Coturnix japonica: one gene and its partners. The protein of the gene in region 3 interacts with the protein of the main gene of each other region in a pairwise test. Links are inferred from orthologs where the notes say so. Each region holds a gene or a part of one and is shown on either strand. Other genes may lie near its edges. The genes, in order: RBM15, ING5 and NAV2.

What was found.
Region 1: the proteins of NAV2 (region 3) and RBM15 interact in binary tests that used the Homo sapiens proteins (3 or more experiments, as listed by UniProt). The two-hybrid records come from large-scale screens. The link is inferred for Coturnix japonica from reciprocal best matches to the Homo sapiens genes NAV2 and RBM15.
Region 2: the proteins of NAV2 (region 3) and ING5 interact in binary tests that used the Homo sapiens proteins (3 or more experiments, as listed by UniProt). The two-hybrid records come from large-scale screens. The link is inferred for Coturnix japonica from reciprocal best matches to the Homo sapiens genes NAV2 and ING5.

What each region holds. Positions count from the first base shown.
Region 1 is NC_029541.1:1,765,643-1,769,396, forward strand, and holds the start of RBM15 (RNA-binding protein 15), read left to right. Parts: upstream 1-1,332; 5' UTR 1,333-1,465; coding exon 1,466-3,754. UniProt on the Homo sapiens protein: RNA-binding protein that acts as a key regulator of N6-methyladenosine (m6A) methylation of RNAs, thereby regulating different processes, such as hematopoietic cell homeostasis, alternative splicing of mRNAs and X chromosome inactivation mediated by Xist RNA.
Region 2 is NC_029524.1:3,638,843-3,641,536, forward strand, and holds part of ING5 (inhibitor of growth protein 5), read right to left. Parts: intron 2,582-2,694; coding exon 2,446-2,581; intron 2,285-2,445; coding exon 2,223-2,284; intron 1,189-2,222; coding exon 1,143-1,188; 3' UTR 1-1,142. UniProt on the Homo sapiens protein: Component of the HBO1 complex, which specifically mediates acetylation of histone H3 at 'Lys-14' (H3K14ac) and, to a lower extent, acetylation of histone H4. Component of the MOZ/MORF complex which has a histone H3 acetyltransferase activity.
Region 3 is NC_029520.1:1,594,569-1,598,222, forward strand, and holds part of NAV2 (neuron navigator 2), read left to right. Parts: intron 1-295; coding exon 296-587; intron 588-1,489; coding exon 1,490-2,192; intron 2,193-3,654. UniProt on the Homo sapiens protein: Possesses 3' to 5' helicase activity and exonuclease activity. Involved in neuronal development, specifically in the development of different sensory organs.

The DNA of each region.
Region 1 (3,754 bases), on a different chromosome or scaffold from region 3:
ACCCAAACATCCCCCCAGGTAATGAACGCTAAATACCCCCAGGTATTATGAACGCCCAAAACCCCCCCGGTAAATTAATGAACCCAAATATCCCCATATAATGAACCCAAACACCCCTCAGGTAATTAATGAACCCAAATATCCCCCAGGTAAATTAATGAACCCAAACATCCCCCAGGTAATGAACCTAAATACCCCCCAGGTAATTAATGAACCCAAATATCCCCCATATAATGAACCCAAACACCCCCCAGGTAATTAATGAACCCAAATATCCCCCATATAATGAACCCAAACACCCCCCAGGTAATTAATGAACCCCCAAACCCCCCAGGTAATTAATGAACCCAAATATCCCCCATGTAATTAATGAACCCAATCACCCCCCATATAATGAACCCAAACACCCCCCCCATAATGAACCCCCAAACCCTCCAGGTAATTAATTAACCCAAACACCCCCCATGTAATTAATGAACCCAATCACCCCCCAGGTAATTAATGAACACCAACACCCCTCCATGTAATTAAGGAACCCAAACACCCCCAGGTAATTAACCCAAATACCCCCAGGTAATTAACGAACCCAATCACCCCCCATGTAATTAAGGAACCCAATCACCCCCCAGGTAATTAACGAACCCAATCACCCCCACGTAATTAATGAACCCAATCAGCCCCCATATAATGAACCCAAACACCCTCCATGTAATTAATGAACCCCAACACCCACCAGGAGACCAATCAAAATCAAAGCGCGCTTGACTGACAGCCATATTAGCCAATCCGCAAGCTCCTACCCGCATCCAATCGGGTGCTTAGGGAGATTTTCTCGTCCAATGGTAAACGAAGAGCGGAGCGTGGGCAGCATCCCGCGCTTCTGCAGGAGTGGCATTGGCTTCAACCAATCAGAACAAGGCAGACCAGGTTGGCAGTGACCAATGGGAAAAGGGGGCGGGTAAAGCGCTGCTCGCGAGAATTTGAGCGGGACAACGGGAACCCGCGGACCAATGGGGAGCAGGGGCGAGATAACTGGCAGGTGAAAGGACCAATTGGAAGGAGGAGAGAGTTTCGCCCAATGACCAATGGGAAAAAGGCAGAGCCGCTCCTAGTGACAGGAGAGCTGGACCAATCAGAAGGCCGCGCCCTTTCTAACTATCCAATGAGACAGCGGGGCGGGGCGGATGGGGGGCGGCTCTTCCCGGCGCGCGAGGCCGGCCCATAGACAGACATCTCCCTCAGCCAATAGGAACGAGGATCGGCGGGGCGGTGGGGCGGGATTTCCGCCCGGCGGGAGAGAGAGGGTGGGGTGAGGCTGCGAGCGGCCAATGGGCGCCGAGGGGGCGGGGTCGGCGGCGGCCGCGGCTTCCAAGATGGCGGCGGATGCGTGAGCGCGGCGGTCGGTCCGTCGGTGAGGCCGCCGGGGCGCAGGGCCGGGCGGGAGGCGGCCCCGCCGGGCACCGCCATGAAAGGCAAGGAGCGCTCCCCCGCCAAAGCCAAGCGGTCTCGGGGCGGAGGGGGCGGCGAGGACTCGGCCTCATCCTCCTCCTCAACGCGAGAGCGGAGCAGCAAGAAGCCCAGCGGCTCCGGCGGCGGCTCCAACGGCGGCAAAGCGGCGGCGGCGGCTTCGAACGATAACAACAGCGGGAGGCGGGGCCCGCACCAGGACAAGGCCGCACGGACCGAGAGCGGGGCGGCCACGGGCACGGGAGGGCGGCACGGGTACGGCGGGAAGAGCACGGAGCCGTCACGGAGCAGCAGCAGCCGCGGGGGTGAGTCCCGGACGGTTGCGGCCCAGTCGTCGTCGTCTGACAGCGGGGAGTACAAGACACTGAAGATCAGCGAGCTGGGCTCGGCTCTGAGCGACGAGGCGGTGGAGGACGGGCTGTTCCATGAGTTCAAACGATTCGGAGATGTGAGTGTTAAAATCAGTCGCCTCCCGCCCGGTACCGGCGCTGCGGATGAACGTGTGGCTTTCGTTAACTTCCGACGGCCTGAAGATGCACGAGCCGCTAAACACGCCCGTGGTCGCCTCGTGCTGTACGACCGGCCGCTGAAGATCGAGGCCGTCTACGTGGGGAGCGGCGGAGGGAGCAGCAGGAGGAGGAGCAGCCGTTCGCCGGCGCTGCTGGACAAGGAGTCACCCTACGGCACGGCAGCCGTGGGGCTGGCGGCGGCGGCGGCAGCTGTACGGCATCCCGCAGCTGGGGCGACGCAGCGGGCTTTGTCCCCCGCCGGCAGCGGAGGGGCGTTGGGTTACCGGGACTACCGGCTGCAGCAGCTCGCTTTGGGCCGCTTGCCGCCCCCTCCCCCTTTGCCCAGGGAGTTGGAGAGGGAGAGGGACTATGGGGGTTTTTATGAGGCGCGAGTGCGGCCGGCCTATGGGCTGGAAAGGGTGGCCAGCGTGGCGGCTGCTGGGGGATTCCGTGGAGGAGGAGGGGGTGCTGGAGCTGCCAGTGAGGAGGAGATCAGCCCTGAGGATGACCAGAGAGCCAACCGCACGTTGTTCCTGGGCAACCTGGACATCACCGTGAGCGAGACAGATTTACGTCGAGCTTTTGATCGTTTTGGGGTCATTACTGAGGTGGACATCAAAAGGCCGGGGCGCGGGCAGACTAGCACTTATGGGTTTCTTAAGTTTGAGAATCTGGACATGGCGCATCGAGCCAAGCTGGCCATGTCGGGAAAGGTGCTCCTGCGTAACCCTATCAAGATTGGGTATGGTAAAGCCACTCCAACTACCAGGCTCTGGGTGGGTGGCCTCGGGCCTTGGGTGCCCCTTGCCGCCTTGGCCAGGGAGTTTGACCGTTTTGGCACCATTCGTACCATTGATTACCGCAAAGGTGATTCATGGGCCTACATCCAGTATGAGAGCCTGGACGCGGCGCAGGCGGCCTGCACCCACATGCGTGGCTTTCCATTGGGTGGGCCGGATCGCCGCCTCCGCGTTGACTTTGCGGATACCGAGCATCGGTACCAGCAGCCCTACCTGCAGCCCCTGCCTTTGCCCCCTCCTGCTCATTATGAGCTCGTGGCGGAGGCGGCTGCTTTTGGGGCTCACCGGGGGGCCCCACCCGATCCTCTGCGGGGTGCCCGGGACAGGACGCCACCGTTGCTCTATAGAGACCGTGATAGAGACCTTTATCCCGAGACAGAGTGGGTGCCACCCCCACCCCCTGTACGGGACAGGAGTAACCGAGCAGCTGCCTACGACCCACTGGAAAGCCTAGAACGCCGTCGGGATGGTTGGTCCTTAGAGCGGGACCGAGGGGAGCGGGAGTTGGGCAGTAGTAGGGATCAGCCTAGGAAACGGAGGCTGGCTGAGGACGGAGGCCGGCACTTGGATCGCTCTCCGGACAGCGAGCGCTCTTCTTCCTCTCGGAAGCGTCACTGCTTGACCACGACCACACCACCAGACCGCAGCCCTGAGCTCGTCGGGGGGAGGGAGCGTTACAGCAGCGACCCGGAGCGTTCATCGTCTCGCTTGCTCCTCTTGGAGCGGCCCTCTCCCATCCGGGAGTCACGGAGGGGCAGCTTGGAGAGGGGTCAGAACGAAAAGCGTGACCGAAAGAATTCCGCTGAAAGGGAGCGGAAACATCGCACTTCTGCTGCTGCTGCACAGGAGTGCAAAAGCCCGGCCAAAAAGGATGAACGTGCTGCAGAGGGAGGCGGTGGAGGCTCCCGCCTCAAACCTCCACCTCAGAAACAGCAGCAGGACGGAGCATCGCAGGCCGGGGGAGCCCCCAAGCTGTGC
Region 2 (2,694 bases), on a different chromosome or scaffold from region 3:
AGGCAATGTTGCCCCTCAAAAAAGACAAGCAGTGACTTAAAGACATTCCTGCTGCGTTGCCTTCTCTAATGGCACTTTTTCATAGCAAAAGCTACCCAAGAACCAAACTGCCACCACGCTACCACACAGCCGCCCTTCAGCTTTGCTGCATCATCACTGGCATGTACACACTGCTCTAACAGAATCTCCCCTTAAAGCTTGAGATATAAGAACATCAAGCCTTCATCTTACTGCATGGATAAATCGGACCCCCTGCCACAATACTCTGGGTATCAACTTCACAGTAACACACTTAAAGTTCATTTTTAAAGCAACAAAAACTGACAGGAAAGGTAACTTGCTCTCTCAGTACTACTGTCAGCACTGCAGGAAAACCCCTTTGATATTTAAAGGTTTTGTTCCAGAAGACACGAGGAGGTTAAAAGCCACAGCTTGCTTCTGTTGAGGCTGTGGATATGAGCAAAACCAAGTAAAAGAATGGCAGTGTAAAGTTAGACAGAATAAATTCCCCCAAAGGAGAAGATACTAAGGATGGTCTTCTCTCTCTCTCTCTCCCGTACTCATCCTGCCAATACTAAGCACAGCATTTGGCTCTGAGGAAACAGCCACTGGGAGCAGCTAATCAGCTTTTTCGATCCTCTCTGTACTACAAAACTGCACAACAAAGGGGCATCACACCAGAGCAATGGAGATAATCCTTTCCTGTAGGCTGCACGAGAGAGAATTGCTTTTCCTGCCATGCTAAGCTCCAGGTCTGAATGACTTCAGCGATGGTAGCATCACACCGAAGGCAGCATCACACCGAAGGCTGGGTATCTCAATGTCCTGCAGTGCCTCTCAGGGTTTAACAGACTCCTAAAACACAAGCAGACTATGGGCTGTTCTAGCACTTCGGAGTAACACTGATGTCAGTGCAGTGCCAGAGTAACATAAATAAAATCCCTGTGGCAAATTCCTCCCTTCCCAAAGTCACTTTCTTACAAAAGAACAGGAATTACAACTGGCCGCTGGGTAATTAAATAGCGTATCAGAAATGGGAGGAGGGCAGCTTTTAAAATCACAATCAAAATCAAAGATGATATTGCAACATGAAGGAAGGAATATATTAAAACTCTTCTCGCCTCAGAGGAGGTTATTCCCCTTTACTTCTTGCTTTTCTTTTTTTCCTGAACACAACGTGGACAAAACCTACAGAGAGAGAGAAAAAAAAACCTGGCTGTTAATTAGTTCCTAAAATTAACAACATATTACTCGGGAGCCTTTTCCATTACTTGGAAATGAGTGGAGGCGGTGTTAATTTTAGCCAACTGCAACACTTCACATGGCATGCAGCAATATTAAGCAGAGGGAACGAACCGTATGGACACTGGTGGGCAGAAGGGACAGCACTGGAAGGCTACAGGGGCTCACCTGCCCCTCACAGCTCTGAGGGGCTCTATTGCATTCACCCACAAGCTATTCCAACCAAATTTCTCAAGGCTGGTACATCAGCTTCTTCTACAGTCAAAGGAAAAATGATATTCTGCCCCAGCAATGATTGCAAATGGCTGCAGCTCACTTCTGCTTAACCTCGATTCTAACATGCATCTTATAGTCAGATGAACCAAACAGAAGGATTTGCATGTCTTTAAAAGTCTGCAGACTCAACAACTCAACTGTCATTCAACTGCATGCTGCCACCGCCATATCCGATTGAAATGCAATGACCAAGTCTTACCACTTGTTCCCACTCCATGCAGTACTGCCGTTGCATTTCCTCTTTAAATTTTGCTTTTGTTATGCAAACTGAAGAGCGTGGTATTTTAATTGCAAAAGCCAACGTTTAGCAAAGCTTTTTTCCTTTGCAAAAGAAAGCAAGCACGGAAAAAGCCTAGGACTCCTTCTAAAATAGCACACAAATAGGTGAAGAACTGCTGTAGTCTTACATTGTGCTCCCCTAAGCAGAACAGAAAATATTCTTTTCCTAACCTTAATCACATCAACAAATGCAAACATGAGATGTAAGCTGTACACTCTGACAAAAGCCTAAGCTCATGGACTGCCCTGCTTATCATGAAATTCTGCACTCCTTCATAGTCCCAAACCCAACATGGTGTAAAACTCCGACCACAAGAACGAAGTTCCTTTGTTGGGAAGGGTCACCATGGGGCTTCAATTCTTTTTGTGATTCCTTTGGAGAGAAACTATAGCCTGACAGAAGTCAAAAACCTGCATGTCCTTACCATTTCCCTTTTGGTTTGGTGGTGAGGTCCACACAAGCAAAGTGGAACCACTCAATCGGGCACTGCAAAAGAAAGGAAAAATCCACAGAGGAGATGCTTAGCATTTCACCAGCTACATTCACTTTGGATGATAAAATGAGCAAGTAACCCCCTTGAATTTCACTGTCTGTCTCAAAAGATACAGAGTGCATTTAGACGATAAAGCAATAAAGCAAGTGCTTACGTCTGGGTTGTCACAGCCAATCATCTCCCCGTAGGACACCTGGTGACACAAGCAGTAGGTGGGTTCGTTGGGGTCCACAGGCATGTCCAGGACATCTGAGGGATGCACTGACAGGATGGTGTCAGCAAACTCGGAGCTGCAAACAAAAACAACTTTTCAACTTGCCACTTAACCAATGGAATATATTGGAATTAACAGAGTGCCTTTAAAAAAAACACATGACAGACAGGTGAAATGCCTCCTTCCTTG
Region 3 (3,654 bases):
CTGAATGTGTCCTTTATAAACCAAATTCTTTTTCTTTCTTTTTTATCTGTTTGTTTGTTCTAAAGGGATCAATTCGTATGTTTTTTTATATTTTTGCCTACCTCATTAGAAGAGATATAACGTTGTTGGGCTCTTTTCTTACTGTGACTTTTCCTATTCAATGGCATGTTGTGTTTACTGGTACTTAGAGATGAGTGCTGACTTTATTAATCAGTTTAATGATTCTCTTCTGTGAAGCTGCTCAAAAGGAAGATGTGCTTATGAAGGTTCTATTGTAATTCATTATCTGTCCTAGACTGATGCAGAAAAGCATTCCCAGGTCGAGCGGAATTCCTTATGGTCCAGCGATGAAGTCAAGAAATCAGACGGAGGATCTGACAGTGGCATAAAAATGGAGCCAGGGTCTAAATGGAGGCGGAATCCCTCTGATGTGTCTGATGAATCTGATAAAAGCACTTCTGGTAGGAAGAATGCTGTTATTTCGCAGACGGGTTCCTGGCGACGGGGCATGTCGGCTCAGGTTGGCATTACCACACCAAGGACTAAACCTTCAACCACCTCGGGCGCATTAAAGACACCTGGAACAGGTGAGAAAAGGTGTAAGATACAAACAAAAAGGGCACTCAGTGGGGAAACAGTCTGAATACTTTACAGAGGTAGAACCTGAACTTCAGGTAATCTTGTCTTTTTATTTTTAGGTATTTTTTTAAACCTGTACGGCAACTCGTACGTCCACATTTCTGTTTCTCTTCATTTTAAAATGAGTATTTTGTAGTTGTACACCATGAAAGTTGTTTTTTAGACAACCCTGGTCTTAAGCCAAGCTATTTTTTGGGCATAGTGTTAACATATGAGGCTTGAATAATATAATTTTAGCTTTTGAAGTCACGATTAACTTTAAGAATATACAGTGAATGTGGTTGAGGAGAGGGGTTTTTTTAGCCAGTACTAAACCAGCATGCTAATTTATAATAAAACACCTTTTAGTTCTGGGCTTTCTCATAAATTTAGAGTTGATTTTAGCACTTGCAGATGTGTGAATGAAAAGTGATTGAATTTACATAAGCAAGTAATGTAAGTTTAATACCTCTTATTTGATTGTGTGAACAACTGTAACACAAAGAAAGTTGAAGTCACTACTTATTTTCTTGAAAAATACATTATAGGAAAATAACTCTACCTAACACAGCTTCTTTCTGCTGATAAAAAGGGATCAATCTGTAGTAGCTACAGAGCGCTGCTAATCTGTCACTATTACATAAGTTTGTTCTGTTTTTCGTGCTATGAAGGGCAAACATGCTACTTTCTCTGACAAGTCTGCATGTATAACTCATTAGAGTGGCCTTTAAGTTCAGTGCAGACTAGATCATAGTTTTTAACCACACTCTTGTGGCTAGCACGCTTTTGCTTTTCATGCTGCTTTGAGTTTCATCATTTGCTTGCTGTTTTCAAGTCATTAAATATTAGAATTCTTTTTCTATTTTTGTAGGGAAAACTGATGACGCCAAGGTATCAGAAAAGGGTAGACTATCTCCTAAGGCTGGACATGTTAAACGTTCCCCATCAGATGCAGGACGCAGCAGTGGTGATGAATCCAAAAAGCTTCCCACAAGTAACTCTAGAACAACTGCTGCTAATGCTAATGCATTCGGATTTAAGAAACAGAGCGGGTCAGCCGTAGGCATGACTATCATTACGGCCAGTGGGGCAACTATCACCAGTAGATCAGCTACTCTGGGAAAAATCCCAAAGTCATCTGGACTCATGGGTAGGACCGCTGGTCGGAAGACTAGTGTTGATGGCTCACAGAACCAGGATGATGGCTACTTAGCGCTTAGTGCCCGAACTAACCTTCAGTATCGTAGCTTACCCCGGCCCAGTAAATCAAGTAGCAGAAGTGGAGCTGGGAATAGATCAAGCACTAGTAGCATAGACTCCAACATAAGCAGCAAATCAGCTGGGTTGCCTGTCCCTAAAATGAGAGAGCCGGCCAAGGTAATTCTTGGAAGCTCTCTGCCAGGATTAGTCAATCAGACTGATAAAGAGAAAGGGATTTCGTCTGACAACGAAAGCGTGGCCTCATGTAATTCTGTTAAAGTGAACCCTGCATCACAGACTGCTTCTAGTGGAGCTCAAAGTACTCACCAGCAAGGAGCCAAGTACCCTGATGTGGCCTCTCCCACTTTGCGCAGGTAGGCAATAAATTCATTGATTGTGAAATGATGTTAGTTAGAGCTGAATGGTCCAGGACTCTTTGAGCCAGGTCTGGCTGTATTTTGAGGAGCGCTTAGTGTCCTACATGAAGGTCTTTGTATTTAATTTCACATAAACAGTTGGGCTAGTGTTGTAAATACACAGAGCACACTGAGACAAGAGCAAGAGTTTAACATATGGAAAAGAAAAGCAATCTGTCTGGTAGAAGTACGGGCAGTTGTGATACGAGTCTCTGTCATAAGAACTGTTGATTGGACAGGCTGAATAGGTGCATATGGTGTTCATATGACCTGGGCGTACTCAAGAACAGAGGAAGTTCTGCTCAGGGCATACACAGCCATATATCTTCAGGAGCTCTTGGCTAGAAATGCTATAGTCCTCTGCTCTGAGGACAGTCCAGTAGACACCTGCTTTGTAAGATTTCATCCCCAGTATGGCACACCTACTTTGAATAATTTCATCCCCAGTACGATGCGCTGTTGATATGGAAATAGCAAGTCCGTATAGATATGGGTGAGCAGGGTTGATGTTGCGAAAGTATTATTCAGTGATTCAATGAAGAAACACCAAGGATGGATTTGGAACCACAGTAATAGTCTCTGGACTTGAGAATAGGGAGTGAACACAAAGAGATTCAGAAATTTTGCAGTTCTGTATGTCTGATCTATGATCGTTTATTCAACATTGATTTTCTGAACCTAAGATACAGAGTTTAGATATAAAATAGCTTTTGTAACACTCATAATAGCGGGTTATTCAAATACAAAGAAGCCTAAAAGAAATTCCTGTCTAAGCTGGGTTGAAATCTCTTATCTCAGTGGTATTTTTGAACAGGTGTCTTACTTGCCTTCTATTTCTCCATCGTTGCCCCACACGTTACTTTAACATGAAAGCTGAGTTGGGCAGGCATTAATTTCTTGACATCAAAGTCTGATATTAGTGAAAGGTTTCATTAATATAATTTTTCAGTTTAATTTGACATCGAGTAGCTTGTCTGTTTCAAGTTGCAGTGTTTTGCATTTCATTTTGTCTTGACACCATGATACCCATACAGTTACGCTACATCATCCTGCTTGCAGTGATGTGATAAAGCTGCATTCCATCTGAAGCACCAGTGCAAGCATAATGGCTGTGATGGCAGCTTAGGCTAAAGCTTCATAGAGTTGTAAGCTGTTTCTTTTTAGATGAGTGGTTTTCTTTGAAGAGCATTTGGCGAGGGTAATTCCAGATACTTCATTTGTTTTATTCCTAGTTATCTTTAGATTAGCCATGTCTTGTAGGATGTTTAATCTTCATCAGTGACTCCTTTAAAATGAAAAACACAGATAGACCTTTCAATTCTAAGGCATGCTGCATGGCAAATGCAGATTTTCAGTGTTGTATACCTCGGCACATAAATCTGGAAATTCAATTGATTTTTTGATTGCAGATTGATTTATT